4 linked regions of the Astyanax mexicanus genome follow. Each later gene encodes a partner of the first gene's protein in a complex. Links are inferred from orthologs where the notes say so. Each region holds a gene or a part of one and is shown on either strand. Other genes may lie near its edges. The genes, in order: vti1b, sybl1, stx4 and bet1l.

Region 1 (7,432 bases):
TTCGTACAAAGGTTTGTATTCATCATCATGTTTCATTACACCCAAAGTCCATTTTACACCGGAATTCCCCTTTAATGCTGCACCACTTAATCTTAACAAGTTTGGAGGAGAACAATAACAATGCAAATTCTGATACAACAGCTAACAGCTAAAATCGACTGCACTAGGTATTGAGGGAGAAGGGTTCCAAACATTTTAACTTGTGATGAAACCTGTTTCTTTTATCAGTCACTGGTGATGTACAAATTGGTGTGTGTGAATTTACCTCTGAGGAATCTCTGTGCAAAGACTCGGATGGAGCGGGTATCAGCCAGGTCCAACTCCCGAACCTCCACCTTAGCCCCACCCACCCGCCTGCGGATCTCTGCGGCCGTGTCCTCACCTTTCTCCATATCCCGACAGGCCAGGATCACCCGTGCACCTGCACAATAACACACACACTTTACATCTACACTTTATTCTCCAATGCTCCTCTTTATATCTTTGTTTTTTTCTACAGTGAAGTGTTTGGCTGGGGTGCTCCCTCACCCCGCAAGGCCAGGTCCACTGCCGTCTCCTTCCCAATCCCGCTGTTCGCTCCTGTAATCAGTGCAGTTTTCCCATCCAAACGTGCTGTGGAGAGACACACTCCGCCTGCTGCGTATTTCCTGCAAACAAACCTTTAGTTTTTTTTTGTAAGTGTGTAGAAGTACATAGTTTTTACTGTCAAATTATACACTATACATACACTACAGACTCATGTTGGATTAACCTCACTACATAACTACTACTTTTTTACTACAAGACATTGCAGATTCATACTGGATTAACCTGACTGTACAATATTTATGTACTATTTTTACAGTAGATTGATTGAAAACACCACATGCATTGCAGATTTTTACTGGACTACAAATATAGGCTGTACTATTATAGGAAGCCAGATAAATTGTGATATATGTACTAGTGCATTTAAAAAAAAAAAAATATCATTGAAAAGTTACTTTATTTCATTAATTCAGTTCAAAATGTAAAACTCGTATATTATATAGATGTATTAAACACAGAGTGATCTTTATTAAGCCTTGTTTTATTGTTGATGATTATGGCTTACAGCCAATCAAAACCCAAAAGTCAGTATTTCAGAAAATAAGAATAATACAAAAGACCAACTAGTGTTTTTGGCAGTGTCCTGCTGGAGAATGAAATCCACATCTCAATAAAAGTTGTCAGCAGAAGAAAGCATGAAGTGCTGTAAGATTTCGTGGGAAAACACTGCACTGACTTTGGACTTGATAATAAAACACAGTGGATCAACACCAGCAGATGACATGACCCTCCAAACCATCACTGATCATCAGTAAATTTTGCATTTCATTTGTAAATCAAGGGAGCAGAGTCTGGAGGAAGAGTGGAGAGACACACAGTCCAAGCTGCAGATTTCATTTTTCAGCAGGAATTGGCACACTGCCCATACTGTCATAAGTATCAATTTGTCTGATACAATATTCTAATTTTCTGAGACACTGATTTTTGGGTTTTCATTGGCTGTAAGCCAAAATCATCAACAACTCTGTGTGTAATCCATCTATATAATGTGTTTCACATTTTAACTGAATTACTGAAATTAAGTATCTTTTCTATGATATTCCTTTTTTTAACAAAGTTTAAAGATTACACATGTTCATTTAATAGTAATTCAGGATTCTGTTATATTAGCTCTTGTAATATTTTTTTGTTTAATTTCAGTCTTGGCAATTAATTTTATACTAACATGAGAAGAATAGAGCCAAACCAACCTCAGTACTTGTGGCAATAAATGTACTAAGACGTTTCACTAAGGTCTCGTAATAAAGTCGTCATTACTTTATTAAAACACTATTTTATATACAATATTTTATCCAGAGCATCATTATAGCCTTCTCTGCCCACCTCCTCTGAACACCCCCACATGCCTCCAGGTGGTACGACCCACACATAATTACCATACGCAGTCCTCTGCACCCAATCAGCCTTCGCCTACACTGTGCATGCATAATTAGCCCCGCCCCCAGGAAGATCTTATTGGCCGCCTTCCTAAACTGATCATATTCAGCGGAGGCGGTTACTATAGTGGTCGTGCACCATTCAACTGAACAAAACCAGCTCTCTCAACCAGTATAATGAGATATACATTTATAAAAAACATAAAAAGATGTATATTAGCTAAATTACAACACACAGCTATATGCTTACTATCTAATATACCCGACTAAGGCCCCTGTCAGCGAGCCTGAGCTTCACACTGTTTACAATTAGAGCACAATTTAGAGCACATTCTCGCTGGATTATACATTTCTATTAAGCGTAAATATGTATATAAATATATTGCGCTTAAATCCTGCTTTAAAATACAGAGAAAGCTCAGCACACGCAGCGATGTGCCTACCTGATGTGGGAGGACAGCAGTCTCAACACTATAGCTACGAATCCGAAACCTGCCACCACGACAGCGAGCATGATCCTTTACAAATAAAAACTCAATAAAAAAAAAACAAGGAGAATTCAGAAATCCTCAAAAACAAGCCTCTCTGCAGTCGTGTGACTGCTGATGCGAATCCGTGGGGCTGTTTAGATTTGGTAACTCCCACTTTCTCTAGCGCCCTACACAGAAAACAGCTGGGAATCATGGGATTGTAGTTTTTGTAGATGGGGACTGTAGTTTTTTAATCAGTTTCAAAGAGTTACTCAGGTATTATACATAGTAGGATTTAAAATACTTCTGTAGAAGTTGAAGTATCAACTCAAGCTTTTTACTCTTTAAGTAAAAGTGTAAAAATACTGCTTTTAAAAATACTTAAAGTGTAAAAGTAAAGGTCATGTAAAGGGGAAAAAATGCCATTAAGGACAAAACCTTGGGACACATGGCCCTATAGTGCAACCCTACTCTATCTAGATGGATAGATTTATCTGGATAGTTTTTTTTAATGATAGAAATCCGTAATAAAAACAAGGTGTAATGAAAGGAGTAGAATATTCTCTGAAAAAATAGTCATCTGAAAGTTATCTAAAAAAAATATTACTCTAGTAAAGTATAGATAACCCAGGTAACGAAGTATGTATATGTATATATATATATATATACTTTTTACTTTATTTTTCTGTATTCTAACAAAAAACTAACTGGAGTTGTAGTGTGTAAAGTATTCTTTAAGCACCTCTCTTAACTGAAAATCATAAAGTATTCAAAAGCATAGTACTCAAGTACAGTAGGTAAAAGTACAGTACTGTGTTACTATGTGTTACTATGTAATTATTACAGACAGCAGCAGCTCACTTTGGTTGCCAGTGGTTTAGACATTAATAGCTGTGTGTTGAGTTATTTTACAAGCTGTACACTAGTGAAAGATCAGTATAAGATCAGCTTGGTGATGAGAAATTTCCTTAAACCTTTTGACAGTGCAGTCCCTGAATTTAATAAACTGCTTCCTTAATTTATTAAACAATTCCCTCACTTTAATAAACAAATTTCTGTTCCTCAATTTAATAAACTGGTCCCTCATTAAAGAAAAATCTGTAGTTAACCTGTGGGGACTAAATGAAGATAATTATTTACTAAATTGAGGAGATAATTTAATAAATTAAATTAATTATTTATCAAATCAATGAAACAAGTTGCCGAATCTGAAAAATATTAATTTGATTGTTTTTTTTAAACAGTACGTTTAAAATATGTTTATAATATGTTCATAATTATACATTTCTTTGAAACATTGAACCTAAGCCTATGTTGAATTTGCCCACTTCCTATTTCAGCCGCTAGAGAGAGCACGGGAGTAAGTCCTCAGGGAATGAATTTTACTTTTAGTACTTCAGTACTACATTTTACAATAAACTACTTGCAATACTTAGGTACAAAAAATGTTTTTTATTACTTCCACTTGTGCTCTACTCAAGTCACTTTTTTTTTATAGAGCACTTTCTCAAGCCTGGGTCTCTAGAACTCAGGTCTGGATAATGCTACACTACAACTGATTGACCTTTTGGTAAGCCGATGCTGGAGGCTTGAAAGGCTTATAACTTGAATTTAAACGTTTTAAAAATCATATGATATGGTTATGTGTTAAGAAAATGTATGAGAAAAGTACATGTTACAGTATAAAATTTGAAAAACACCGTTATTCTCCGATTTAGCTCCATTTGAACCAATTCATTTTAGACTCTTTGATTGAACTACATAGACCACAATGCGCTGCTTTGTTAAGGACGCTGAGAGTCGCCGCAGAAAATGTCGTTACAAATTTCAGTGCAAACTTTAGATTATTATTATTACTTTGTTTAGAAATGTAATATAATATCTGCAGTGTTTTACAGCTCGTCCCCACAGGCCGATCAGTCCGCACTGCGGAGTTTTATTATGCAGGCATGTTCTCAGGGCTCCTATAGTCACGCGGTGGGATGAGGAAGCGGAGTTGATTCGCTGTGTTTATTATTGTGAAGCAGAGAGAGCTGGGAGTTACCGGTGGTGTAAACTGATTTATATAGCGTTATATATGGTTTAGAGCGGCTGATTATCTTTATTTAAGTGTAAAATATTAAGGCCTCTCGGCTGCAGTGAAGAAAGGGGCAAAATGTCGTCGGAGGAGTTTGAGAAACTTCATGAAATGTATAAATCTTTATACGATGAAGTGAAACTGATTCCTGAACGAGTGCTGCGGAGCCACGGCGGTATTTATACTATTTACACCAGCTATTCCATTTATTAATCACCAAAATTATATATTTAGCTAACTAACTTACACAGTTCACAGGTCAGTAAGCAACACCCAGCTTTAACTATATATTCACTGAAATACAACAATCAGAACCTGTAGATAGATAGGTTTCAAGCCTGTTTTTGCCATCCTCTGCCTGCAATTGCATATCTCGGGGCTTTCTACTTATACTGACTATGAACTAGAGGCAGTTTGATAAAGTATTATGACTGAAAAGCCTTTAATGTTTTGTTAGAAAATAATTAAATATATTGAAATAAATCTCCAATGGTGAATGACCCTTGAGAGTTGTTGTGTGGAAACATTTTGCCTGGGGTCTAGCAGGGGTCATCTTTCAGCCTGTACAATTTAACTATAATATCCCAAACAAATCCACGTACAGTAGGCCATTGCTTTTCCTAGTGTTTTTTTGGAATTGATTTAATGAATAATTTGAGTGTTTATAGTGTAACTTGTATTCATTCAGGAAAACGTTCTTGCAATGTATTTTTCAACCCGAATATTTATTAGAAAGGGTTTAAAGTTCAATTGGCATCATAATTGCAAAGCTTTAAAATTGTATCCTATATTGAACCTACGCTGGGCCAGTCCATCACCTTTATATTCAGTTTTATTAGCAAGTCAGAATTGTCTTGGAGGTGTCCTGCGGAGGATACTGTCCTGCGTCCCAGTTTCCGAAGGACTGTCACTCCTTACAGCTAGCAGCACCTTATATAGCCCAAAACCAATGACACTCCCACCACAATGCTCATCTTTAGAAGACGCTACCTTCTAATAACCACTGGAAACCATTGACAACCACTGGAAACCAATGGAAATCTTAGCTTTTTTGTTTGACTTTGGCGTGGACTGTCCTGAGTGTAGGCTGTACTGTTAAATGCCTGGATATCACTGGCAAGCATACTGCAGCTCAATTTTAGGGCTTTGGCTATCTTCATGTAGCCTAGTCCAGTGTTTCTCAACCTTTTTTATATCACGACACCCTTTAAATATATGCGAGATGTCAAGGCACCCCAGTTTAAGGGGGGGGGGGGGGGTGCTGGCGCAGTACTTCAGGTGAGAACTGGGGTGATGTGCTGGCGCAGTACTTCAGGTGAGAACGAGGGGTGTTGCTGGCGGAATTTGACATAAAATAGCGCGTGCATCGCGTGGGGGACAAAAACTTTACAGTGTTTCCCAATTTAGGGGCTGCATCCTTCAGAGGCTGTATTCGAAGACAGATTGCGTCACAGCTGCGCAGTAATCCACCGCCTCTGTGGGTCGCATCCTTCATAGTATGCTGCCTGTGAATTGGGACACACCCCGACACGAGCTGACTCTGGAAAGGAAATATGCACGTGAGGCGCAATATTTTGACGGCACCCCCGATGAAGCCAGACGGCACCCCAGGGTGCCGCGGCACCCTGGTTGAGAAACACTGGCCTAGTCCATCTTTATGTTCTTTTTTTCAGATCCTCAGAGAGTTCTTTCCCGTAAAGTGCCATGTTAAATATCCAGTGGCCACTTTGAGAATGTGTGAGAGCAAAACCACCAAAAATTCACACCTGAGACCTTGTTACACTAACAATTCCATTTTGACTTAAGAGTGTACTCACTTTGGTCGCCAGTGGTTTAGACATTAATAGCTGTGTGTTGAGTTATTTTCAGAGCACAGCAAATGTACACAGATATACAAGCTGTACACTAACTACTTTACATTGTATCAGTGTTTATCTTTAGGTATAACTTAAGCTATAATAAAACTTTGCAAAAATGTGAGGGTTGTACTCACGTTTGAAAGATACTTTAAATGATCTATGTTCTAATATACAATAATGACTATGTATGAAATATATTATGTGCAGTTACTGTAATACAAATTATGTTTGTGTTTCTTTTCTGTTCTTTAGAAGAGAAGAAGAAGTTAGTGAGAGTGTTTGATGAACGTCTTGGGGAGGCAGAGGAAGTGGTGAGTAACTAATTTTACAGCATTTGCAGCTGTTTTTGACTTTTGACATAATGTGAATCTGGCAGTTGTCATTTATGTTATGTCAGAATTACCAATGACTTAATGACTCCTATATGATGATATAGACTACATAATATGTCTGTAAATCTAAATTTTTGGTAAAACCTGCCCAGTGTTTCACAAATAGTATTAATGCGCCCCGTCTGTACCTGTTTGCTGCTTTAACACTGTATTCAACCCAAGTATCAAAGTTTATTTAGTATAAATATAAGAATTTCATACATGCAGTAGAAACAAAAAAAAATGTTTGTGATTTTTTTAATCAGTAACTTACCAAGACCCTGATTTTGTATAAAATAGTAGTGTAACAAAAAGGAAAGAAATGCAACAACAACAGTTTACCACAAAACTAAAGTGTAGCATATAAAGTGCAAAAAAATGAATAAATAACAGTAAATACAGTAAATAGCAAAAAAAAATACAAAATAGACTGCTTTGAAGAACATTACTATTATCACGCTATTGAATTTTTTCTTGTGTCAGAATTTTTGCTGAAATGAATGCTTATGATACGATAAGGCACACCCATATTTACACATGTGCGCTTTATGCTGTCTTGTCTCATACTGTTTGTTCTAATTTGTGTCATGGTCCTGGAGAAACATCATTTCTTGACACTCTGTACTTGTACTGAGATGGAATGACAATAAAAGCCACTGAACTTGATATGCAACTTGTAGTGCAGGAGTAT
Region 2 (7,350 bases), on another chromosome or scaffold:
TTTGTGTGTGTAGAAGGTTTAAGTCTGGCCCTTGTAGTTTCTCCTACAGGGTTCATTCAAACCACTACAAAAAAATCTTAATATTAGAGGAAACACTACAATATGATTGATACATTTGTCATTGCTTAATATAAATTAAAATGCTTCCCCTCCGTTTGAAAAAAATAAGTGCATCCCTAGTTAAATTAATAATAATAATAACTTGAGAGAACTGTTTCATCTGAAAAGTGAAAGCAAGTATACAAGACTTCTTCTCTGGAACTAAACAGCAACATTAAGAGAAAGGTGGAACCTGAGGAAGTATACTTTTATAAATGTATAACATAAACTGTTTGATGCAACTTACCATTTGTGCAGCGAGAGTGCTGGAGAACTCACTGTTCATGGCGTAGGGTAAAGCTGTCTGAGCCCGGGAGCCATAGGTGGTTTGGAAACGTTTCTTCACCTCATTGAGGAAGCTAAACGCACGCGACCTTTCAAAATCCTGCACACAAGGGCACACAAAACAACCTCACTCACTGACATTCATATATGATGTAAAACAAATCACTCTAGACTCAAGTTTACTAATAATAAGCATGATCAGGATTTAATGTTAATGATCTGATCACAGATTTAGCTGCAGAACATTCAAGAACAAAAGTCAATCAGGATGGGATTCATACTTACATCATCTGTGATACATAGATAGATGATTCTGTCATGACAGACGTAGTGGAAGAGATAGCTGAAATCGAGAAGAGCCACGGCAATAATTTAGCAAAGTTCACTTGGAGGAAAAAGGCAATATCAAAGGAGAATCCTCCACATTTACAAAAATTCAACCTCTAAATGTAGGAAATTTGCTATTCAAGAGAAACATACAGAATTACAGAGTACCATAATTCTTCTTTGCATTAGTAGAAACCAGATTTCTTAAGAAATTAATGCATTTAAATGCTTCCTTACAGATATCTGTAATATTAAATAGCTATGCATATCCTTGCTGTGCAATGAAAAACATGTATCTCTACAGTGGTGAAAGCAAAAATCATCTACACTTAGAATGTACAGAGCATATACAGGTTTCAAACAATGGACCGAAAAATGTAAAACCTGACAAAAAAAAAAATGCAGCTACATGCTTTTCCAGTGGACAGCTGTGATATGCTGCTTCATGCCTGAGACACTGTTATATTATTATTATTATTTAGCATTTAGCATTATTTACATGCATTAATTGTAGAGACTTTTTGAATGTGCATCAGATATCACTACACCTGGTTCTCATCACCACCATCGTAAAGAATCAAAATCTGTAAATTTTCCAAATGGAAATATGATGGAATTCACCTTAAATAAAGAAACTTGCTGTGTCTTAGTACTACTAGACATTTTAATAGCAAAAATGAAAAAAAAATCTAATGCCTGCAGTCTGTAGGCTGTTCATCCTACCTGCCATGGGAGTAGGTGAGTTTGTTGTTTTCGGACGGGATTTTGGCCAAAATCTGCTCTGTCACCTCAAGAAAGTTTCCACCACACCAGGCATGTTTGGCCAGTATGGTTGTTCCACGAGCCACCACAGCAAAGAGGATTGCCATAGCAGGGACGAGGGTGATGAGGTCCGAATTACTGACTAAAAACTGCTGCAGGTGCTGTAGATAAAAATGTTAAATATAAGTCTACACCACAACATTGTTGCCTGTTCTATGTCTCAATATTAAAACACATACAGCTCTGCAAAAAAAATAAGAGTTTCTGAATTAGTTTCTCTGATTTTGCTATTTATAGGTATATGATTTATTCTATAAACGACCAACAACGTTTCTCCCGAATTCCAAATAAAAATATTGTCATTTAGAGCATTTATTTCCAGAAAATGCAGAGATTTCAGACCTCAAATAACGCAAAGAAAAGAGGATTATATTCATAAAGCTTTAAGAGTTCAGAAATCAATATTTGGAGGAATAAACCTGGTTTTAATCACAGTTTTTATGCATCTTGGCATCATGTTCTCCTCCACCAGTCTTACACACTGCTTTTGGATAACTTTATGCTGCTTTACTTTTCTTTACTACTGCTAATAATAACATGTCTACACATGTCATGTAGTTATGTTATCATTAGCAGTAGCAAATAAAATTAGAGCTGTAACCTAAAATGAGAGTAAAGAATAAGTTAGACCACAGACTAAAACAGCTTGTCATGTTGTATTAATCATTATTAGGGGCAGGTACGCGAAATTACATCTCGTTTACACAATTGTGGTAATTAGCTAGTTAGTTAGCTAGGGTTAAATAAGCTAATGTTAGTTATAGCTCCTGATGAGTCACAAGCTAATATGATAGCTAACGCTAGCTAGCAGCGTTAGAGACCGACAGTGTTTAAAACCAAAAATAGCGCATTTTTCTCGTCACAAAGAAACCCTATTACCAGCACTATCTAACTTTATCTACAGGCTATGATATAAAACACACCACGGACATAATGAAACCGAAACACATAGCGTTAGCATTAGCATTAGCTAGGTTAGCTACCACAACAACAGCCTCTGGAAGCTGCGAGATTCTCCCAGATCCTCCACCCGTTCTCTTTAACACTCCAGCCCCGATCTGCCTTCACTAACCCCGCCAGCACCCCACCAACCACCTCCTAAATTCCTCAGTAATCAGCTACATAAAGATGGCATCTAAATAATACTGCAATAATACAAAATATTACAGCACTTGAACTGTATCTACCGCACATCCCTGCGATCAACCTAATCACAAAACACTCTACCAACTCTACCAGCGTTACTCAGCTAACTAACAAACAAACACAGTTATATTTACATCCAGCTGTTAGTTTATATAAAGCAAATATAGAATAACATATAAACAGAAAATACAGCTACCTGTCACGCTGTTAAATCACGCATATGAGTCCATCCACACGCTGTAGTCATGAAAACAATCCTCCACAGCTCCTGCGAGCTCTTTCCGCATCGCCCAGCTTCACCCAGACCCCGAGCTTCCGCTGCGCTGCCGGGAAATGTAGTTCAACCGCAGGTTCAGTGTAGTTTTTTCTGAAGTGGGTGAAATTATATTATATTTAGGGATGTCAAAATTAACGTGTTAACGCATGCAGTTAATCTGGAAAATGTATTGTGTATTTTTTTAAACGCAAATTAAACATGTGACAAAATTGACAGAGCCTAGGGATGCATTAACAGTTTTATTTAGCATTATTCCACAGTTAGTTCCAACCCTGCAGTGTGATTGCTTGAGAAGCACTCTATGAGTGCTGTTATCAGCCGATAATGCACTGTAACCGAAGCTCTCCATGTATTACTCTGCCAAATACAGATAATCTAGAAATGATGCAGCGCTTACAAGCCAAACAGTGCAGCTACAAACAGAGCAGCAATGGAACTATTTTATTAAAGATATATACATATGCATAATTCCAAAAAACAAAATGAAATTTTCTCAAAATGTTCATTAATTTAGAACGATTTTTTTACATTGTATATATTGAATTTAATATATGTAAGAGTAAATAAGGCCTAAATAGGTCCGATTTTTTTGTACATTTTATTTTATGGATAAAATATTTACTGAGTATGCCTCTGGGAGTCACAACCAGAGCACTTTAAATGTTTTAAAGCCTTATAACTAGAGTTTTAAAGCTTTACAAATACGCTGGTGCTAATGAAACATTTTATATCGTTCTGTGTTGACACTGTTTAGTTTAAATAAATAAAAATATATAAACTCATATTTTTTTAATATAATCTGTTTTCACTATTACTCCATCGGCACTCATACGAATAGCGCTCTCTGGTGGCTGACCATAACTTTCATCATCAACCTGCGCCAGCCTTTACCCGTCCCGTAAACAAACCCGTGCTTGTGTTTGAGTGACACCTGTTTTTTAATATATTATTTTTATTAAAAAGTCCCCGCGCCGAGACGAGCAGCACGCGCATGCACACATAACAATTACAAAAAAAATTATTATTCCCTCCTGGCTGCATTAAAGCAGTTTAAGCTGATGTTTCTGCTGCAGCTATAATAACAGAACGCGTCACTCCTCTGAGCGGAACGTCATAATGCTGCGACACGCGTGCCACGGTCCAGAACGCGAGCATGGCCGCAGCAGATACAGAGAAGAAGCGCGTGCTGGAGATGGTAGGATTAATATATATTTACGTTATATAATCTGCAGTATTAGACAAAAACTAGACACCTCTTCTGATTCACTGTGTTTCTTTTTATATTATTTTTACATTGTAAATTTAATGCTGAAGACTGTATTAAGGCTATACAGGAACACATGCAGAATTATTCTGTAAACAAAACGTGTTAAACAAACCAGAACATGTTTTAAACTGTAGATATGTGGTTCCCAAATATTTAAAGCAATGTATCACCCATAGTTTAACCAACCATGCTGGCATTTCAACGTTAAATGACAACGTTGATGTTAAGTTTGAACCTTTAATAAACCATAGCTCACATTCTGGATGCTCAAAATTGTACAGAAAACTGTATGCCGTTTGGTTTGTCACCTGGTCTTCCACCCTGAAATGCTTTGTATTTCACAGTACTAAATGTAGTCAAATCAAAAAGTGTTATTGTCAATTCTGCATATTTACAGAAAATACAGAGGATTAAAATTACTACTCTCCTTCCTAAAGTTACAACAAATGCAGCAAGATAAAAATAAAAATAAAATATAAAGAATGAGAGACACTAAATGTACAATACAACAGGGTTACAGACATAGACATGGGATACAAGATACACAAATGACAGTACCATTGTAAACAGAACCTATATAAGCAGTAATGCAAATATAGTGGTATAAAATCTTAAGGCTGGTAAAGTACCACAGTTCTAGATTCTTCTAAATAGCCACATTTAGTAGGAATGTCCTTATCACATTTTTTATGCCCTGAGTCCGAGTCATTTGATTTTGAGTTTCTGCCGATACAGAGTGCCGATCAGATACTTTGGCAATGCAGTAAAAAAAACAAAACTGATATTTACAAGTTGTCCCTTAAAGGTTTTTTAAATATGTTTGTAATTATTACTAAAACAACAGTATCGAATTTTTTTTTCCATTTTTCCATCAAAAGCCATTTTTATCACAAAATTAACAAGTTTAAATAAACATTTAAATATGCATCTTTACTTAAATAAACAAACTAAAAATGTCACACAACAGCAATTCTGTGATTAATAAAACTGAAGATTAATGGTCTATTATAAATGAACACAGCACAGACTGCAGACAGTCAGCTGATATTTCTAAACATCATGATGATTTATTTTATAATGCTGGTCGTTCTATTTTTTTTTTGTTTGTTATTTTTTATTTTTGTTATTTTTTTTATAGAGAGACCGTAATAATGGTATGGTTTAGACCAGGCAGACTAGGTTTAGACTAGACTTTTTACCCTATTATCTTATCTATATTACATTTAGATACATTATTACACACAAGAGGTGTGTACACATTTGACTGGACTGATCGTATAATACATAGTGTATAATACACATTTGTTTAGAAAGAGAAGATATGTTACTGATGCAGTTTAACCTCTCTACCACTAGGGGGCGGCGTGCTGTAGAAGATACTGAGTGTATAATTATTAAAATGCGCAGCACTGAAAGTTAATTACCACATATAAAAGCTCAATATGGTAGAATTAGATTATTATAAAATTTAAATTATGTAAATTGTCAAAACAGTGTGTGTCTTTATGTGTAGTTCAGGGTCAAACGTGTTTTACTTGTTATGCATGTATAGTTGTGGAGGAGACTGTAAACAATGTGTAATAAGTCTGTTTTGTATACTGTGAATAAAATGAGAAATGTATTCTTTTTAGTGCAATAAAATCTATAAACAAAATATAAAACGTTTATTACCTTATCCCGGTCTTTGTATATGTGGCCCCAAAACACCCTCTGCAAGTGAGTAAATGAAAACACACATGCAGATGAATTTACAACAGATATCTTAATTTTTATTTTAAAATAAAAATAAAGATGTATCGGTGTATCTGTAAAAAATAAATACACTATAAAAGCAAATAACTTGCATTTTTACCAATTATATAAATAAAGGCAATGAAAAAATGAACACCAATTAATGCTAAAGTATTCTAAAATGAATATAAAAGGAAAATAAAAAAAATAGAAGTTTTTAATTAAGCAAAGTATTTAAAATAAATACTGACTTAAAGCCACTGATGAACATGCTGTAATTGAATCATTATAAAGTGAGAAAAGTGATAAATCTTAAAAATATAAATATATTTGCCCTACATAGAACTTTAAAGCTTTTTACACCAAAATTCTCTACATATCTTATTTTCAATCATATACTAATGCATATTTCGAGCAGGCAATTTTGCAGTTTTGAATTAGAAAGAATAATACTCCTTTATTTGGCCTCCGTGTGCTATTTTTATTCCTCCTTTATCACAGTTACGTGCAATATGCCACAAAAAAATGATAACATGGTTTTCTAGACTTTGATGCTGAGATTGTAGTTTTGCACAGACCGTCTAATTTCCCCACAATTAGAGACTTCAAACAGTCTCTATATGATAAGAGGATTTTATCCTGTTCTGTTAATGGGGTTTTTAATCAGCTGCTCCCTTCATCCACCTTCTTTATCACTGTTTCACTGAGTTTTTGAAAGCAGAACACACCTCTTTCCTGATCTAAACAAAACAATAGAACTGGCATTTGATCAGTGGAGTCGTCTCACTCCTCTCTTTCCCTCCTTTCCTGTTTAGAAACAGCAGCTGACTGTGTTCATTTATAATAGGCCTGTAATTCATCAGTCACGTCTTAAAGCATTACTGAGTTTCTGTTCCTCACTTCATGAAGAATCATGCAGACTGTGAACACTGCAGGTGTTTCCAAAGCACTGGAGGCCGTTTAGTTCTTTGACCACCAAGTGTATTAAATGAGCTTTTCCATCAGATATAGAGAACTGATATTACTGATCTTATACAGCTCTGGAAATAAAAGAGAGCACTTAAAAATGATGAGTTTCTTTGATTTTACCAAATTAAAAACCTCAGGAATATAATCAAGAGGAAGATGAATGATCACAAGCCATCAAACCACCAAACTGAACTGCTTGAATGTTTCCAAAAGCAGTGTGTAAGACTGGTGGAGGAGAACATGATGCCAAGATGCATGAAAACTGTGATTAAAAACCAGGTTTATTCCAACAAATATTGATTTCTGAACTCTTAAAACTTGATTAGGAACTTGTTTTCTTTGCATTATTTGAGGTCTGAAAGCTCTGCATCTTTTTTTTGTTGTTGTTGTTATTTCAGCCATTTCTTATATTTTTTTGTAAATAAAT
Region 3 (7,838 bases), on another chromosome or scaffold:
TGTTACTGGAATAGATACACAAATAATAGGCTGAAATTATATTAAATAAGAAATTATAGAGATATTAACTGTCATCTGGCAGTGCCACCCCTAAAACAGTTTTCTGTTTGTTCTCCAGTTCAGCCACTTTCTTCTTAAGAGTTTCAAGGCCTTCTCGGATCTCTTGGACCTGTAGAGCAAGATTAACAATATTAGGATGGAAAGTTGTAAAATTAAAAAAAAAAAAAAAAAAAAAAAAAAATTTAAAAATTAAAAAGCCAAAGCAGTTCATACTGTTGAACAAGAAGATTCGCTTATTTATTCATATTGTCATGTTCTCACTTCTAGACAAATAAATAAACAAGTCCTCTTGTTGTGGACACTTTTTTGGCTTTTTCACTGATGTATTTGTTTGGGTCCTGCACCTGTGTTTTATTGCACACTTGTAAACTTTTAACCATAACTGAACTAAAACCTCTATTTTATTAGTACTGAGATTATAATAAATAAAATCACATTTCACTTAAAACTCTAACTGATAATTAAGATGAAATTAATTAAATGTGAGACTGTTGTAACAATGCGTTTGTTTGGTTTATCTTAACTGACAGAGAAAGAGTTACATGTGCTCTTTGCTTACCATTTGTGTTAAATACATGTGCTAAAATGTTTTACAAGCTTTACCTTTCTGAAGAAAGCCTCATTATCTTTATCTTCCTTTCCAGAGTTTCCAGTGCCTGGTTTTATCATGAGGGCTGTGCCTTCTTCATCTTCATCTGAACCCTCTGCAGGCTATGTGGACATGGAAATGTATGAGGTAAAGAAGAGCTACAGATTAGTTCCCTTATTTTAATGTTTACAGCAACAAATGACCAAGTAAATGAACTAAACACTTAAAATATAGTACTATATATAAACAGATATGAGGTAAATAAGAAGGCTACAAAGGGCATTATCTCTGTATGCTCTAACAATTTTGGCAACAATAAAATGTTAACAAGTGTAAGAATACAGTTTTATGCATTTTTTAGACATGTCTTCTGACATGGTTAAGAAACACTATGATCAATGTCCATCCACAACACCCTGTACCCCTAGGAGGGTTTTGTACTATATATTACGTCTCCTTCTTTATCACACACAATGCTAACAGCAACACTGATTCAGCAAAAACCTGCCCCACACTCGCGCTATAAACACGCCCCAAAACACCATACAACAATAAATATATACAGCTGTATACAAAAACATCAACATAGCCTCTGCACAATGCTGCACACGTGTATGCAATTCCAGAGTGCCAGATTGCATTGAGCATTTTCATGATCAAACACACCTGATTCAACACATGTTATGTGCCAGGGTTAGCAGATCTGTAAAGCAGATGGTTAGCAAACTGTGCAAGAATCTGGCAACCTACCACTGCCACTGCACAGGAGGTTTTCTTTTTTTTTTGACAAATCTCAAACCTGGATAACCAAATCAGTCCCTAGGCCTTTGACCAACTGTCATTCAGAACAGTCACTTAAAATATATTTCCAAGCTTTAGAAATTATCTCTTAAGACTAACCTTAAGACTAACATTTAGCAAACATGTTTTTTTTTCTAGACCACTGTCCAAAGATTTAAAAATGAAAGTAAATGCCCACAAGCAGAAAAAATATACTAGAAAAGTTCAGTTTGTGGTTTGTACAGTGCAGGCTTTGGCAGTTCAGTGGAACAGTGGAGGTTGAGATCTGCTCACATGCAGGTCTGTAAGTGCTAAAACCTGCACAAAGGAAAAAGTGGTGAAGCTGTTGTTGAAAAAAATGCTGCATCTCATGAACAACAACAACAGCATAGTGTACATATGCGAGTAGTGGTTGTGTGTGTGCAGGTGTGTAATTGTTGTGTAATTATTGTGAATCCAAATACATTTTTATTTTCCAAAAAAAATAAATAATAATTAAATAATAATATAATAATTAATAAAAAGAATCTTAAAAATTCAACATATTTTACCTGATGTGTACTAGCTTTATTTAACATATTTAACTACAATTTAAAATGTGTTTAGGCTATACATGCTAGCTTTTTAGTAGAATACTAAAGATTTTTGTTCCCCTTCAGAAAACCAGATAGTTAAATGTACACTGCACAAGAGTGTTTATACAGCTACAATTATATACAAATTACTCACAGGCTGTGGAGGTTTTCCTGTTAAGCAAATAAAATCCTTGGTCCCAAAACATTCTAGGTTAAAACGGATGTGGAAATTCTGTGGCAGCTCTTAGATTTCCTTTCCTCTTAAAAAATCATGTATATGTGTGTGACAGACCTGGATATGCTTGAACACGAGCAAAATAACTAATCAAAAAGAACAGAAAATCAGAGTAACAGCAGGTTAGTGATCTTCAGAGAACCGTAAAATACACTCCACTCATTTAGGTTAGCTAACTAACCCACATACTAGCCTGCCAGAGTAACTATCTTGTTAGCTTAGCTAGCTTGCTAGATAGCTTTTTAGCTAGCTAACTACTTAGATAGTTTGCTACATTCTAATACATTTCTGCACAGCTAAATATTTTAATATAGTTGTCGTTTAAGATTTTTAACGAGGATAATACCCCATAGTTACATAAATATGTTATAATGTCACATTAGCTGCAATGTTGTTTAGCCAGCTAATGCTACATGACAGCAGAGCTAGCTAGCCTCCAGCTAACCTGCTAAGTCCACTAGCGCTAGGCTCCCTGAGTTTAGCTCTCTGACGGGCTCCAGTAGTTTCAGCAGGGCTGCAGTGAAAAGTTTAAGCTAATCAGTTAGTTAACTCACGTTTCCCAGTTCTTTGGTTCGGTCTCGCATCGTTGCTCCTTGTTTAAACCCTCTCTACAGACTCGGGCTCTTCATCTAACGCACTAACTTTGTTGACATCAACAACAGAAGAAGGGAGTTTCCATTCAAAGTCAAAAAGAAACGGCTCTTCCTCAGTGTGTGACACAGCCACCATTAAAGGCACACCATCTCCACCTACTGAGAGCCCTGCCCTCACGCCCTAAACCCTCATAAAGGTCAGCATACAATAATACTGTAACACTTCAGTTTCTGAATCAGTTTCTCTGATTTATCTCCCAAATTCCGAATAAGAATATTGTCATTAGGAGCATTTATTTGCAGAAAATGAGAAATGTCTGAAATAACAAAAAAAGATGCAGAGCTTTCAAACCTTAAATGATGCAGAGAAAACAAGTAACTATTCTTAAAGTTTTAAAAGAAAAAAAAATCATCAAAAATGGTTTTTAATTACAGTTTTCAGGCATCTTGGCATGTTCTCCACCTCCAGTCTTACACACTGCTTTTGGATAACGTTATGCCACTCCTGATGCTAAAATTCAAGCAGTTCAACTTACTTTGATGGCTTGTGAGTATCCATCTTCCTCTTGATTATATTACAGAGTTTTTTTTAATTTGGTAAAATCAAAGAAACCCATCATTTTTTATTTTAGTCTTTTATTTTTTTCCAGAGCTTTATAATATAACCTTCCTTTTGTGTCCGCAGCATAGTTCTTTAAATGTCATATAGACACTGTGTATTAATACTTTCCCAAGATTTAACTTTAAAGCACTCTTTGTACATTTTGTACAATGCGTGGCCATGACTTATAAAGGAGTGGGAATAAAATAATTAAGTCTGCATGGACAAAAGTTATTAAAACTTGGAAACAAGATCCTAATGCGTGGCCACAATTTTTCAAGTCACGGCCATAGTCGTGGTCATCTTTTTTTTTATACATGATGTCACCTTAGGGGCTCTGTAGTTTTTCTATGCGAGTTGTTTTGCCATATCCAGAGTGCTGCCAGGAATCATTAATTTAGGGGTTAAATAACATATTTATGAAAAATGTAGTAATTAATAATAAAAATATATCAAGCTATTTAAACATGGCCAAAAATTGCCTGTCCACCCTGTCATATTGGGATAACCAGCTCCCTAAAAAAGTAACATTTGACATCTGTGACATCACAAACTTCACACTGTTTTATTTCTGCAAATACTTTGTATTACAAAAAAAACTTTGTATTAACTTATCATAAAATGTATAGTGTAAATGACAGTTTAAATAAACATATTAAAACGTGTTAACTAGTTAACAAAAAACAAGAAAAATGTAGAAGGTCTTGTTCTGGCAGTGTCAAAATTCTGTTTTTAGAGCTAGTATATAATCAAACAGCTGTTAAATTACTTTACTTTACTTTCATTGAAGTTAAGAATGTTTTATCTCTCTTCTGTAACATTGCTGTTTTGAAGATGCACGTTTTTCCTTGAACAGCAATGATATACCGTATTTTTCGGACTATAAGGCGCACCGTATTATAAGACGCACTATCAAAGAACGCCTATTTTCTGCTATTTTTCCATACATAGGGCGCATCGCATTATAAGGCGCGTTAAGTGACACTAGAAAGGGTGCCTATATCAAAGTGAACAGGGGTGGCGCCATGTTTCCCTTCCCCCACCGGGGGTGGTCGCTTGCCGGTGGAGCGTCTCAGTATATATAAATCTAGCTCTTTCAAAGTCAAACGAGTGCTGGATATTAATCTACACAGATTCCTCTCCTGAAAACTGTTTTTTTGGGTGAGTAACGTGCTTCAGTTTATTTACAGTAAGCTTAGATTTCCAGATGTCCACTAAGGCTTGCTGCACCAGCGTTAGCATAGCTATCCGCTAGCACGCTAGCTAGTCACCTAAACTAGTAAAGTTAACCCAAACTTAAACGACAGCGTTACACTGAGTAATCCTGCATGTTCTGGTAAGACAGTGAGATATTAGCTAGCGATTCGTCCCCCGTAGCTTGTTTTAACACTGTAAACAAGCAGATTACAGGCTGATAAAACTCACCTCTGAGAGAGTTAGCGCTTAGCATCTAGCTAATGCTAGCCAGGCAAAGCAGCACAGACTTACAGGCCGATAACTCACCTCTGAACGGTGAACGCTTAGCGATTAGCATCTAACTCTAATAATACTGCTCCAGCAGTATTAAAAGTGCTAAATTTAGAAAATACTGATCTCTGAACAGTGAAAAAGCTAGCTAGCTAAGCGGTTAGCATCTAGCTAATGCTATTGCTGCTCTGCACGGAGTGTGTGTTTACTGCTCCTTACACCTGACGGGTAAAATTTAGATAATACTGATCTCTGAACAGTGAATAAGCTAGCTAATGCTATTTGCTGCTCCAGCCTCGGAGCTGCACGGCTCTGGACTCTGTATAGCACTGAAACTCTGTATAACGCTGCACGGAGTGTGTGTTTACTGCTCCTTACAACCTGACGAGTAAAATTTAGATAATACTGATCTCACTGAATAAGCTAGCTAGCTTAGCGGTTAGCATCTAGCTAATGCTATTGCTGCTCAGCCTCGGAGCTGCACGGCTCTGGACTCTGTATAGCACTGAAACTCTCTATAACGCTGCACGGAGTGTGTGTTTACTGCTCCTTACAACCTGACGAGTAAAATCCATACAAAAGGCGCACCGTATTATAAGACGCACTGTCAATTTTTGTGAAAATTAAAAGTTTTTAAGTGCGCCTTATAGTCCGAAAAATACGGTACACGGTTTATTTAATCTTACAAAAATCATACGAGACGTATTCTCTTTAATACATGATTTTTTTTATTATTATTTTTCAAACACCGGTAAAGTAATTATTTTTATGGAATGACATGTCATAACATAAAAAAATAAGAAAATACAAATGTGAGTATAACCCATAACTATTGTAGCTTATGCTTATTGCACATTATTTTTGCTGCCTCCAAAACTTGCTGACAATAAATATATATTTTGTCCAAGAATACATGAGAACTTCTGCTACTGAAGTTCTCCAAAGGCCATAAGTCCCCAGATGTGGTGCCTTCTAGTAGCCTAAATAGCACATTCATACAACGAAAGCCGTGAGTTCATTCACAAGCCAGTTTTCCATCAAATGAGGACAGAGTGATGGCAAATGCTTGCAGAGCACACATGGGGAAGCTGTAGTCCATGGAGAAAACATCCTCTGCCACTCTTCCAAACTGCATTACAATGTACTCCTCTGGACAACACAGAAGAGAGAAACAAATATTACAGGCTTATTTTACAAACATCTGATAACTCTTTTTACATTCATGAAAAAAACATTATCATGGCCAGGTTTCAGTGTCTTTTCAAAGTGCCTCATGGTGAGCATTTATATCCTGTCCTTGCTGTGGAGCAACACACTGCCCCAAGTGTTAGTGTGATTATCTGATGAGCCATTGAACAGTCAGACACCCCAGTAGTGATATAAAGAGAACTATCAGCTTATCAATATGTGCAGAACATCCTGCAGCCACATGTGTTGTGGAGGGTTTCCAACAGGTATTTTTCAGCAGGATAATGCTCACCCACACACTGCAAGGGTTTCCCAGGAAAGTCTCTGCCAGATTACAACAATTCCTGGGAATTTCTGGATATAGCCTCTTTTTTCAACTGTGGTTTTGTAGCCTTTAGCTTGCTAAGCAGAATAAGGTAGGTAAAGGTAAAACTTGTTAATAGATGCTCAGTAAAAACACAACTTATATGTCATAAGTTTGAAAAAACAAAAAAAATATTCTTCTAGGTTTGAAACCATTAATACATTAAGTCAGTAATTTGTGCTGCAAAACTCAATCTCACACCTTGAGGGCTCATGTCACACTTCACTTAATCTAAAATAGTAATGGAACGTTCCTTAAGGTTGCCTCTGGGTTCCCCCACATGTAAACTGATGCAACGTCTATAAAGGTTTGTTTAAACAGTATTAGAACATGCAGAATGTGTGTGTTTCCCCTACTAACCGTTATCAGGATGAACAATCTGGAAGTTCTTCACAGATGCCTGTGTCACTCGGCCATGGAAATTGAGCACATACGATTGAGTCTGCTCGTTCCAGCTGGGTGACTTATTCACCAGACACACCAGATTCTCCTTATTTCCATTTTCATAACGAGTGAGGAGAGATTCGATATCCTGCGAGAGTGAAGAATTAAAGAGAGGCTGAAGAAGTGAGATCAGGTGCCCACAAAGAAACAGTAAGGGAGACTGAGAGTGAGGAAGAATGAAAGTGAAATGGAATTATACAGGGCAGATTTACAGAAAACATTACTTACGCTTTTTGGACGAATACTGACTCTTTCGTCATTCTCATGCATGCCAGGAATGATCACTGTCATTTTCCTGGGGCCTTTAAAGCCCAGAATGTTTTTCTCCTGTTTGATGGGGAATAATGACAGTGACAAATAAAATGGAAGTAAAAAGAGTAATTACTGCATCCTGTAATTCAGTATACATTAAATAATGTTTTTTTCTTTTTATTATATGTTTTTAAGTATTATAATAAAATATTGACCACAAAGTTCCTTATGACATGTTTAACTTACATAGCATATTGCTGCAAGCTCTTGCCGAAGTGATTCACTTTCCTTAATAAACTGCTTCCTTTCTGGGTTTTCTCCATTATCATATACAGTGAATTTAGTCCCTAAAACATTTGACCTGCAATGAGAAAAAATCAATCATTAACAAACACGTTCTTCCTTTGCAAAGAGAACTAGGGTTAGAAAAGCAGATGGAAGGATAAGATTAATGACCTGAGTTTGCCTATATAGCTGCTTGTGTCTCTGGATAAATCAGTAGGATCAGTGGAGATCAGATAATTGGACGTTGTGCTTTTCTTACGTTTTCTTCCAGCCATGAGAAAAACCTGAGAAATATAGAATGAAAAAATAACATTGTCATTAGATACTGAGGAATTACTACTTTTAATTAATACAGTCATAAAAATGCTATGAGGTAGTTTAAGGAATTGGGATAGGGTAATGTAT
Region 4 (7,721 bases), on another chromosome or scaffold:
ATGCCCATTTTCTAGTCTGTAACAAATTATTCACTTCAATCAAGATAAAAAAAATTATAAAAGAAAACAAAAATGTTTAAAAAACAAACTTTATTAGTTATTTTTCTTATATACTATATCTACTCTCAGTATTAAACATAACTCTTAGCTACATACTCAACAATTTGATTTAAAGTTCAGCCATATAAGATCAAAGCATTCACACTCAAATCAAGCATGTATGTATGCACACAAAAGAGAAAACATTTAGAAGAACAGAAATTGGTCCATGGTATACTCATTATGTTTTCAAGCATAACAAGTGTCTTTAAAAAACAATTTATTTTGTAATAAGATTGGAATGCATGAAAGAAATATTTTTATAGTTATAAAGTCTTTTGGAAAACAACAGACAGATCTTAAAGAAATTATTTTCAGTTCACTTCACCCTTTAAATATACCAGGTTTAGAACCAGCAAGCCCATTAGTAAAACTGTTTTTGTGTAAACATGAAGAATAGAGTACTGCATTCACACATGTTTGTTTCTCATAAAACTGAGAAGATAATATATAAATATTTTTCAGTTCTGTATTCTCCTGACTAGATAATAAAGCAAAAAGAATGTCAACACCAAGCCTATGGATACATAACATAAAATCTTTCGGTTGTCTCTGCTGGAGCGGACCATTGTGGAAAACCTCTTCACGCTCCCTGTCAACAGTCCAGTTGCACTGAGGAAGTTTGAGTCCTAAAGGAAGATGATACAAAAAATTACCATATTTACAGACCTCATGTTTCCATTACATGAAACTATACTGTAAAAGATTGGCTATTCAGACCTAAGAAACACTTTTCTAAACATACATTTGATCTTGAACATAATATATCTAGTCTTAGGATATATTACAGCAGTGTTTTTTAGATAAATTCTAAATTGAGTCAGAGAAAACACACACCATGCCATCCAAGTATGAATTCTGTTCGTCAGCCTCTTTGTCAATTTCAAATGCCAGCTGTGAATGACAAAACAGATAAATAAAAACAAAGTACATTTATAAATTTAGCCCAATCATGAACACATTGTTAATTATTTAGACAGACTGTCTTCATTGACTGATATAAGTGATTATAACATACCGACTTCAATCTAGATACTTTGGTTGCCAGATTGTCAGCCATGCGTTTGTTTTCTTCATCCAGCATGTCATCTACAGCCCCATGTCCTAGGAAGACAGTGGTAAAAGATGCACATACATTTTATAGTTAAACACAAAAGTAAATAATACTTTTTTTTAATTAACCATAAAATTATTGGATTACCTTTTTTGTGCAGGTAACATGTGATTCTATCAAGGTGACAATAATTCTAAGAGACTAAAAATGTTCCCTCAATTTAGTGAATTGTTCTCTTGATTTAATAATATTTTTGTTCACTGTAATAAAGATTCCCCCTATTTAATAAAGCATTCACTCTAAATAAAAAATCCATTCACTCAATTTAATAAATTGTTTCCTCAGTTTAATTAAAGTGCTTCCTCTTAAAGGGACCCCAAACCATATTTTTTTCATTAATAGCTGAAATTAATAGCTAAAATGAAAACAAACCTTCTACATATATATATATATATATATATTTTTTTATAAACATTTCCTAACCTTTAAAAAACTCTTTTATTGCCATCATTTCTGCCTCTGCAGCACCCTCTCAGGTTCGACTGTTATAGGTGAGGATGATGTGTCGGTGTACTTTGGTTCACAGACACTCACAATCTGCAAATCAGTCAATCAATAATACTGCCCCCTACTGAGGTCCAACATCTACATCTCACCGCTATTAGAGGCACACTGCTCAGCCCAATCAGCTCCTCCTTCTGCCCACCCCATCACCCAGTGCCCCTCCCATTTTGGCAAACAGCTGATGCTTTTGTCTCAAAAGTATCTGAGACACATATACAATGTGTTATTTTAGTGTTTCCTTTATGTATTTATTTATTCTTTGAAAAATGTAATATTTAGAGACTTACAACAATCCATTAATTTAATAGAATGTTATTTTGATTTAATAAAGCATTTCCTTAATAAAAAAAAAACATTCACTCAATATATTAAACTGTTTCCTCAATTTAACAAAAGGACTCCTTCTTAACTGAACAAATAGTTAATTTTATAGAAGGAACAGATGGTTAAAATGAGAAAACGATTTCTAACATTTAGGGAACAGTTTATGTCTATATTTTATTTAGGTGTTTTGGAGGACCAGAAATGTCAAAATAAAAAATAAATGAATTAACTAATTAGCTAGTGTTTGTTTACTCCTTACTTCTTTTTTGTTTCTTCATTTCCTTTTTATTAATTAATTAATTAATTATATTGGCAGTTCTGGTCCTCCATATTTGAGAAGCAGATTATATTATATGCTCTATTTTTCACCCAATTTAAACAACATAACGCTTGACAGTGAAATTACTAATTATAATTTATAAGAGCCTCGTGTGAATGTTTGTACAGTGGATTTGAGTGAATCTGGAATCTTGACAACAGGATCCTCTGATATGTTAACACAGCTAAAGCTAGCTAACCCAACCAGTGTAAATGCGCAGATGAGCTAATACACCGTGTAAATGGCATTTCATTATGATCGAAGAACATTAGAGGTAAAGAACTGATACTTTAGTGTCAGAAGTAGAATAAATACGGTGAATTTCAGTTTGATGTAAACTGATAAACTGAGGAGATCCAGTTAGCCCTCTCTAACTTTAAAAACTGCTGTATAAGAGGAGCGACGTGTCACTCACCCCTGTTCCAGTGATCAGCCATCTTTACAGACGATCCTTCACTATGAGAGTCCCGCTGTTAAATCACAGTGACGGAGAAGAAACCTGAATAAAATCAGTCTTAAAAGACACTCAGATACCAATAGTCACTCGTATGAGACCGTTTCGTCACAATCCACAACACGGCAGGAGTCTGTGTGAGATCAGAGCCGGGTTATAGAGAGTTCACACTATACCTGTCTCTCCTGTTATATCAGAGAATTACCGCTGGCCGCCAGAGGGAGCCCGCGAGGGAGTCCTTAATGAATGTGGTGAGTGGAGCTAAACGGCTAAAAACTTAAATTAAAATAGTGTCTAACTATGTACCCAGGATATTACCATAATTATAGAAAGAGAAATAGAGTATTTTGCTACAAAAAAGGCTAAGAAATGTTTGAATGGTTTTCTTTTTTTTTGGACAACAAACTCGCTAGCATTACTGCTACTGTGGTCTGACTGGTTGGTGAGCTTTTGATGGAGATTCAACAAAGGCGTCTTTAAAAGGTTTGTAACTGCAGTTTGAAAGCGTTTAAAATCATGTGTGCGGTGCTGAAACATGTGATATTGTTGTGAGAAATTAGTGTTTGTTGAAAATTAAAAATATAAAACTTTTATAAAATCAGCTTTCGGCCGGGAGCGCCCCCTAAAAAGCCCGGAAATGATTCTCGACTGGGTATTCTCCTCTCTATCAGAGGCTCTTCTGCTGGCCAGGCGTTTTGAGCACAGACATTTATACATAGATGCCACATAGAGCATAGACATGTATATATAGACGCTACATAGCCTGCCGCCATATTGGAGGAGTCAACTATGAACCCATGAATGCATTTATTAGTATTGTGTGTGTGTGTGTGTATGTGTATGTGTAAGCATGTATATATGCGTATGTATGTACATATAAATATAAAATTAATTCATGTATACACTTATTAATATGTCATACCATATGTCTGTCTTTGTTAAAGAGCATAATATAAAGTATTTCAGCTTGAAATCACATATTCGTAATGTGTGGCAGTGTCCTGAATCATTACTACATCTCTGCTGTTTGTAACAAACCAAACCGTGTGAAAATCGGGTATAAATTGGTAGATTTGTGATTATTATAGGTGTATTAAACACCTTTCACTAATAAATGCACTGGGGGCGCATGATTGACTCTTCCAATATGGCGGCCACGCTGACACGCCAGTTTCATCTATGTATTACTATCTATGGTTGTTATATCCTGAGCGAGGAGGCGCGGGGGGTTGTGGGATATGTTGGTCCTCTGGTTGGGGGATGAGATGTGGAGCTGCGGCGGCGCTCCGCTCAGAGACACTGCTGCTGCTGCTGATCATCATCACAGATGCGTTGCATAAGATGCTCAGCTAGATAACGCGAGCATCCTCCGTAAAGAACCCGCCAGACAGCTCTCTCGCGCGCATGAGGATGATCTTAACTTCATTTATTTCCTGGAATTATTCTGTATTTTGTTGCGAATTTCGCGGGTTAAGTATTTCAGCGTTATTAACTCGAGCTTACATAGGAATTGTTTATCTATGATGGGGGTTTATGGCGAATGGCGGCTGGATGACCATCCATTCAAATAAGCGAGCTAACCTGGCTATCTGACCTCTCTTAGGTATCGATAGCTAAACAGAGAGCACTAGATAAGGCAACTTGGCGATTTTGTATGTTAGCAAGCTAAACCTAGCTGCCAGTGTTTATGTGATTAAATAAAAACTGTATTTTGTTGTTGTTGTAGTTAATATCACACTGCGCACGTAGCAAGTGAGTCCTGTCGAGTGCTGTGTTTAGACTGGTGATAATCTGCTGTTTTAATTAGTAATGCCTCAGTTGTAATACAGCGTAGATTTAACGATTTTTATTTATCTGATTTTTATGGTAAAACAATGGTAAGATTTATTACCGACGAAAATAAAAAAGGCTTCTGTAAACGTGGATAGATTAAATCCAGTGAAATCTGATACACCTGGATGTGAGTGGGTCACGTTCATGCTGTTAAACTAAAGCTGGAGATAATAATATTAATCTCTCTTTGGTGCTGTAATTCCATATCTCTACTCTTGAGTGGATAGCTGGATTAAAAAAAAACTGGGATATAATCTGTCAGTAATTGAACCATAGTATTTTGAGTGATAGCCTAGCTATGTTTTGTAGTGGTCTTTACTCAAACCTGTTGTTTCACTGGTATTGTTGAGCACAGTGAAATTAAACTACTGTTTCAAGAACAGCATTTCCCATGAATAACAGAATAACTAATTTAATTTGTAACTTTGTCATTTAATAACGTAACTTAGTCTTTTCTCAAATAGAAATAGATTGATTTCATAAAACAACCTTTAAAGTAGACACTATTATGATAAACTAATAAAAAAAAACTGAATAGTAGTTTATTTAGTGTTTTATTGTATAGTTTTTAAGAGCAAACCTCTAAAACTCAGCAATGTTGGCCCGGAAAGGCCTCCTGCCTGATGGATTTCTGCTGACAAGACTGGCTGAAGATGCCACACAGCCCAACCGTTTCCGGACCAAATCGCAGCGAGCTCGCTTCATCACCAAGAGCGGATCCTGCAATGTTGCTCATAAGAACATACGAGAACAGGTAGAGCACTTGGATCACGCAGTCATTACTTTATAAAATTGTTTTTGCTATGCATTCACATCATTCTATAACCTGTTAAACTGATTCTTGATAAAGTGAAAAATGTCTGTATTTCACTATTTTATAAAGCTCTTCTTTGATAAAGATGCATCAGTATGAATTATTCGCATACTTTTATTTCTCCTTTCAGGGTCGGTTCCTCCAGGATGTTTTCACCACAATGGTCGACCTCAAGTGGCAGCATTCGCTGCTCATCTTCACCTCAGCATTTCTCTGTTCCTGGATGCTCTTTGCCATGGTGTGGTGGCTCCTGGCATTTGCCCACGGTGACCTGGAGCCACGTGACCCCCATGATCGTGGGCATGTTCCATGTGTCACTGCCATTCACTCTTTTACCTCAGCATTCCTCTTCTCGATCGAAGTCCAGGTGAGCAAATGGCTGCATAGACTGAAACTTTGGTGGACAGTCTTGTACTATTTAGATGTCTACACTCATAGCAAAAGGGTTCTATATAGAGTTGAAAAGGCACATATAACAACCCTAACAATACTAGGGATGCACCAAATGTTCAGAACCCTATATTATTTGGCCAAAAAAGAGCACTTTTGGTATTCTGCTAAATAAGTGAAAAGATTGAATAATTTGTACTGAACAATATTGTTTGTGTGTCCTCTAGAATGCTAAACATGTTCAGAGTTTAGTGTGTTCAGTCAAAATTTTTTATTTTTTTTTTAAACCCAGACAAAAATGTGTTACCTATTTAATTTTACTCACTGATGAAAAAAGTGGCAAAATTAATGATAACCAATGAAAAAAATGTGTTGGCTTTCTGAGCAACCCTAAACAATCTTGTATTTTTTATTTTTAATGTTAGGTGACCATCGGTTTCGGTGGGAGGATGGTGACTGAGGAGTGCCCACTGGCCATTACCGTTCTGATCATCCAGAACATTCTGGGACTCATCATCAATGCAGTTATGCTGGGCTGTGTGTTCATGAAGACAGCTCAGGCTAATCGACGAGCAGAGACACTCATCTTCTCTCGCAATGCTGTCATCGCACCACGCAATGGCAGGCCCACGTTCATGTTCCGTGTTGGAGACTTGAGGAAGAGCATGATAATTTCTGCTACCATTCAGCTGCAGGTGAGGAAGAGCTGAGCTGTTTATTATAGTCTATTGCAGGTAAAGGTGCTCTAGTTCCACGAGGTGGATGTTGGTTGATCGTGTTCTGTCACTCTGTGCTCAGGTCATTCGGAGGACAGTAACAGCAGAAGGGGAGGTGATTCCAGTCTGCCAGCTGGACATCCAGGTGGAAAACCCCCTCAGGAGCAATGGCATCTTCCTGGTCTCACCACTGATCATTAGTCACACTATTGAGAGAGGAAGCCCACTTTATGAGGTCTCTGCCCAGTCACTGCCCAATGAGGACCTAGAAATCATTGTAATTCTGGAAGGTAGGTTGTTTTCTGGCCTGTGTGATGTCATGCATGCCATTGCATTTAATATAAGGGAAATTCATGTGACGTAATGAAATCACTACTTTGTTGTGCTATAAAAACTTAAATTCTTAAATTGATATTAAAAAATAATAAAAATGAAAAATATGCTTAGTAAATTAAAATTACATATTAATGCACAACAATTATCATTAGAGTTTACAGTGGCCACTGTCTTCTATTTACAAAGATGAGAGAGGTCTGTAATTTTCATCATAGTTACACTTGAGAAAAAAGAGAAAAAAATACCATTGTAGGACTTTTGTAAATTATGGTGGAAAATAAGTATTTGGTCAGTAACAAACAAGCGAGATTTCTGTCTCTCACAGACCTGTAACATCCTCCACTTCTTACCTGTATTATTTGCACCTGTTTGACCTCGTTATCTGTAGAAAAGAAACCTCTCCATCGCCTCAAACAATCAGACTTCAGCTCCACCATGGCAAAGACTAAAGAACTGTAGACATACAGGATCATTAATTATCTCCCTCCATCTGGGGACCCACGCAAGATCTCATCCCATAGGGTCAAAATGATCATGAAAACGGTGAGCAGAAATCCCAGAAATACACAGAGGAACCTAAAGAATGACCTGCAGAGTTGGGACCAAAGTAACAAAGGCAAACAAAATATGGATGATCCAGAAGAAAACTCAACTGGTCATGTTTAGAGAAAGAAGAATACTGAGTTGCATTCCAAAAACATAAGGGTGGAAACAGCATGCTTTGGGCTGTTTTTCTGCAAAGGGGCAGGACGACTGATCTGTGTTAAGGGAAGAATTTATGGGGACAAATATTGTGAGATTCTAAGCCAAAACCCTAC

What was found.
Region 2: vti1b (region 1) and sybl1 share a complex: the UniProt entries of both Homo sapiens proteins name them as parts of the SNARE complex. The link is inferred for Astyanax mexicanus from reciprocal best matches to the Homo sapiens genes VTI1B and VAMP7.
Region 3: vti1b (region 1) and stx4 share a complex: the UniProt entries of both Homo sapiens proteins name them as parts of the SNARE complex. The link is inferred for Astyanax mexicanus from reciprocal best matches to the Homo sapiens genes VTI1B and STX4.
Region 4: vti1b (region 1) and bet1l share a complex: the UniProt entries of both Homo sapiens proteins name them as parts of the SNARE complex. The link is inferred for Astyanax mexicanus from reciprocal best matches to the Homo sapiens genes VTI1B and BET1L.

The regions. Positions count from the first base shown.
Region 1 is NC_064414.1:8,057,264-8,064,695, forward strand, and holds the start of vti1b (vesicle transport through interaction with t-SNAREs homolog 1B), read left to right. Parts: upstream 1-4,419; 5' UTR 4,420-4,589; coding exon 4,590-4,686; intron 4,687-6,622; coding exon 6,623-6,681; intron 6,682-7,432. Other genes in the region: rdh12 (retinol dehydrogenase 12), read right to left, coding at 266-421, 529-659, 2,408-2,478. UniProt on the Homo sapiens protein: V-SNARE that mediates vesicle transport pathways through interactions with t-SNAREs on the target membrane. These interactions are proposed to mediate aspects of the specificity of vesicle trafficking and to promote fusion of the lipid bilayers.
Region 2 is NC_064417.1:2,196,107-2,203,456, forward strand, and holds the start of sybl1 (vesicle-associated membrane protein 7), read right to left. Parts: upstream 3,012-7,350; 5' UTR 2,876-3,011; intron 1,635-2,875; 5' UTR 1,581-1,634; coding exon 1,435-1,580; intron 728-1,434; coding exon 670-727; intron 485-669; coding exon 347-484; intron 1-346. Other genes in the region: polr1d (DNA-directed RNA polymerases I and III subunit RPAC2), read left to right, coding at 4,110-4,151. UniProt on the Homo sapiens protein: Involved in the targeting and/or fusion of transport vesicles to their target membrane during transport of proteins from the early endosome to the lysosome. Required for heterotypic fusion of late endosomes with lysosomes and homotypic lysosomal fusion.
Region 3 is NC_064422.1:28,696,858-28,704,695, reverse strand, and holds the start of stx4 (syntaxin-4), read right to left. Parts: upstream 3,008-7,838; 5' UTR 2,824-3,007; coding exon 2,794-2,823; intron 2,730-2,793; exon of another isoform or gene 2,159-2,729; intron 772-2,158; coding exon 664-771; intron 170-663; coding exon 70-169; intron 1-69. Other genes in the region: si:dkey-220f10.4 (tubby protein), read right to left, coding at 5,916-6,049, 6,813-6,984, 7,125-7,223, 7,395-7,509, 7,605-7,717. UniProt on the Homo sapiens protein: Plasma membrane t-SNARE that mediates docking of transport vesicles. Necessary for the translocation of SLC2A4 from intracellular vesicles to the plasma membrane.
Region 4 is NC_064409.1:47,838,360-47,846,080, forward strand, and holds bet1l (BET1-like protein), read right to left. Parts: upstream 3,002-7,721; 5' UTR 2,798-3,001; coding exon 2,776-2,797; intron 1,204-2,775; coding exon 1,118-1,203; intron 994-1,117; coding exon 937-993; intron 729-936; coding exon 561-728; 3' UTR 96-560; downstream 1-95. Other genes in the region: kcnj11l (potassium inwardly rectifying channel subfamily J member 11, like), read left to right, coding at 5,243-5,401, 5,592-5,828, 6,277-6,546, 6,650-6,857. UniProt on the Homo sapiens protein: Vesicle SNARE required for targeting and fusion of retrograde transport vesicles with the Golgi complex. Required for the integrity of the Golgi complex.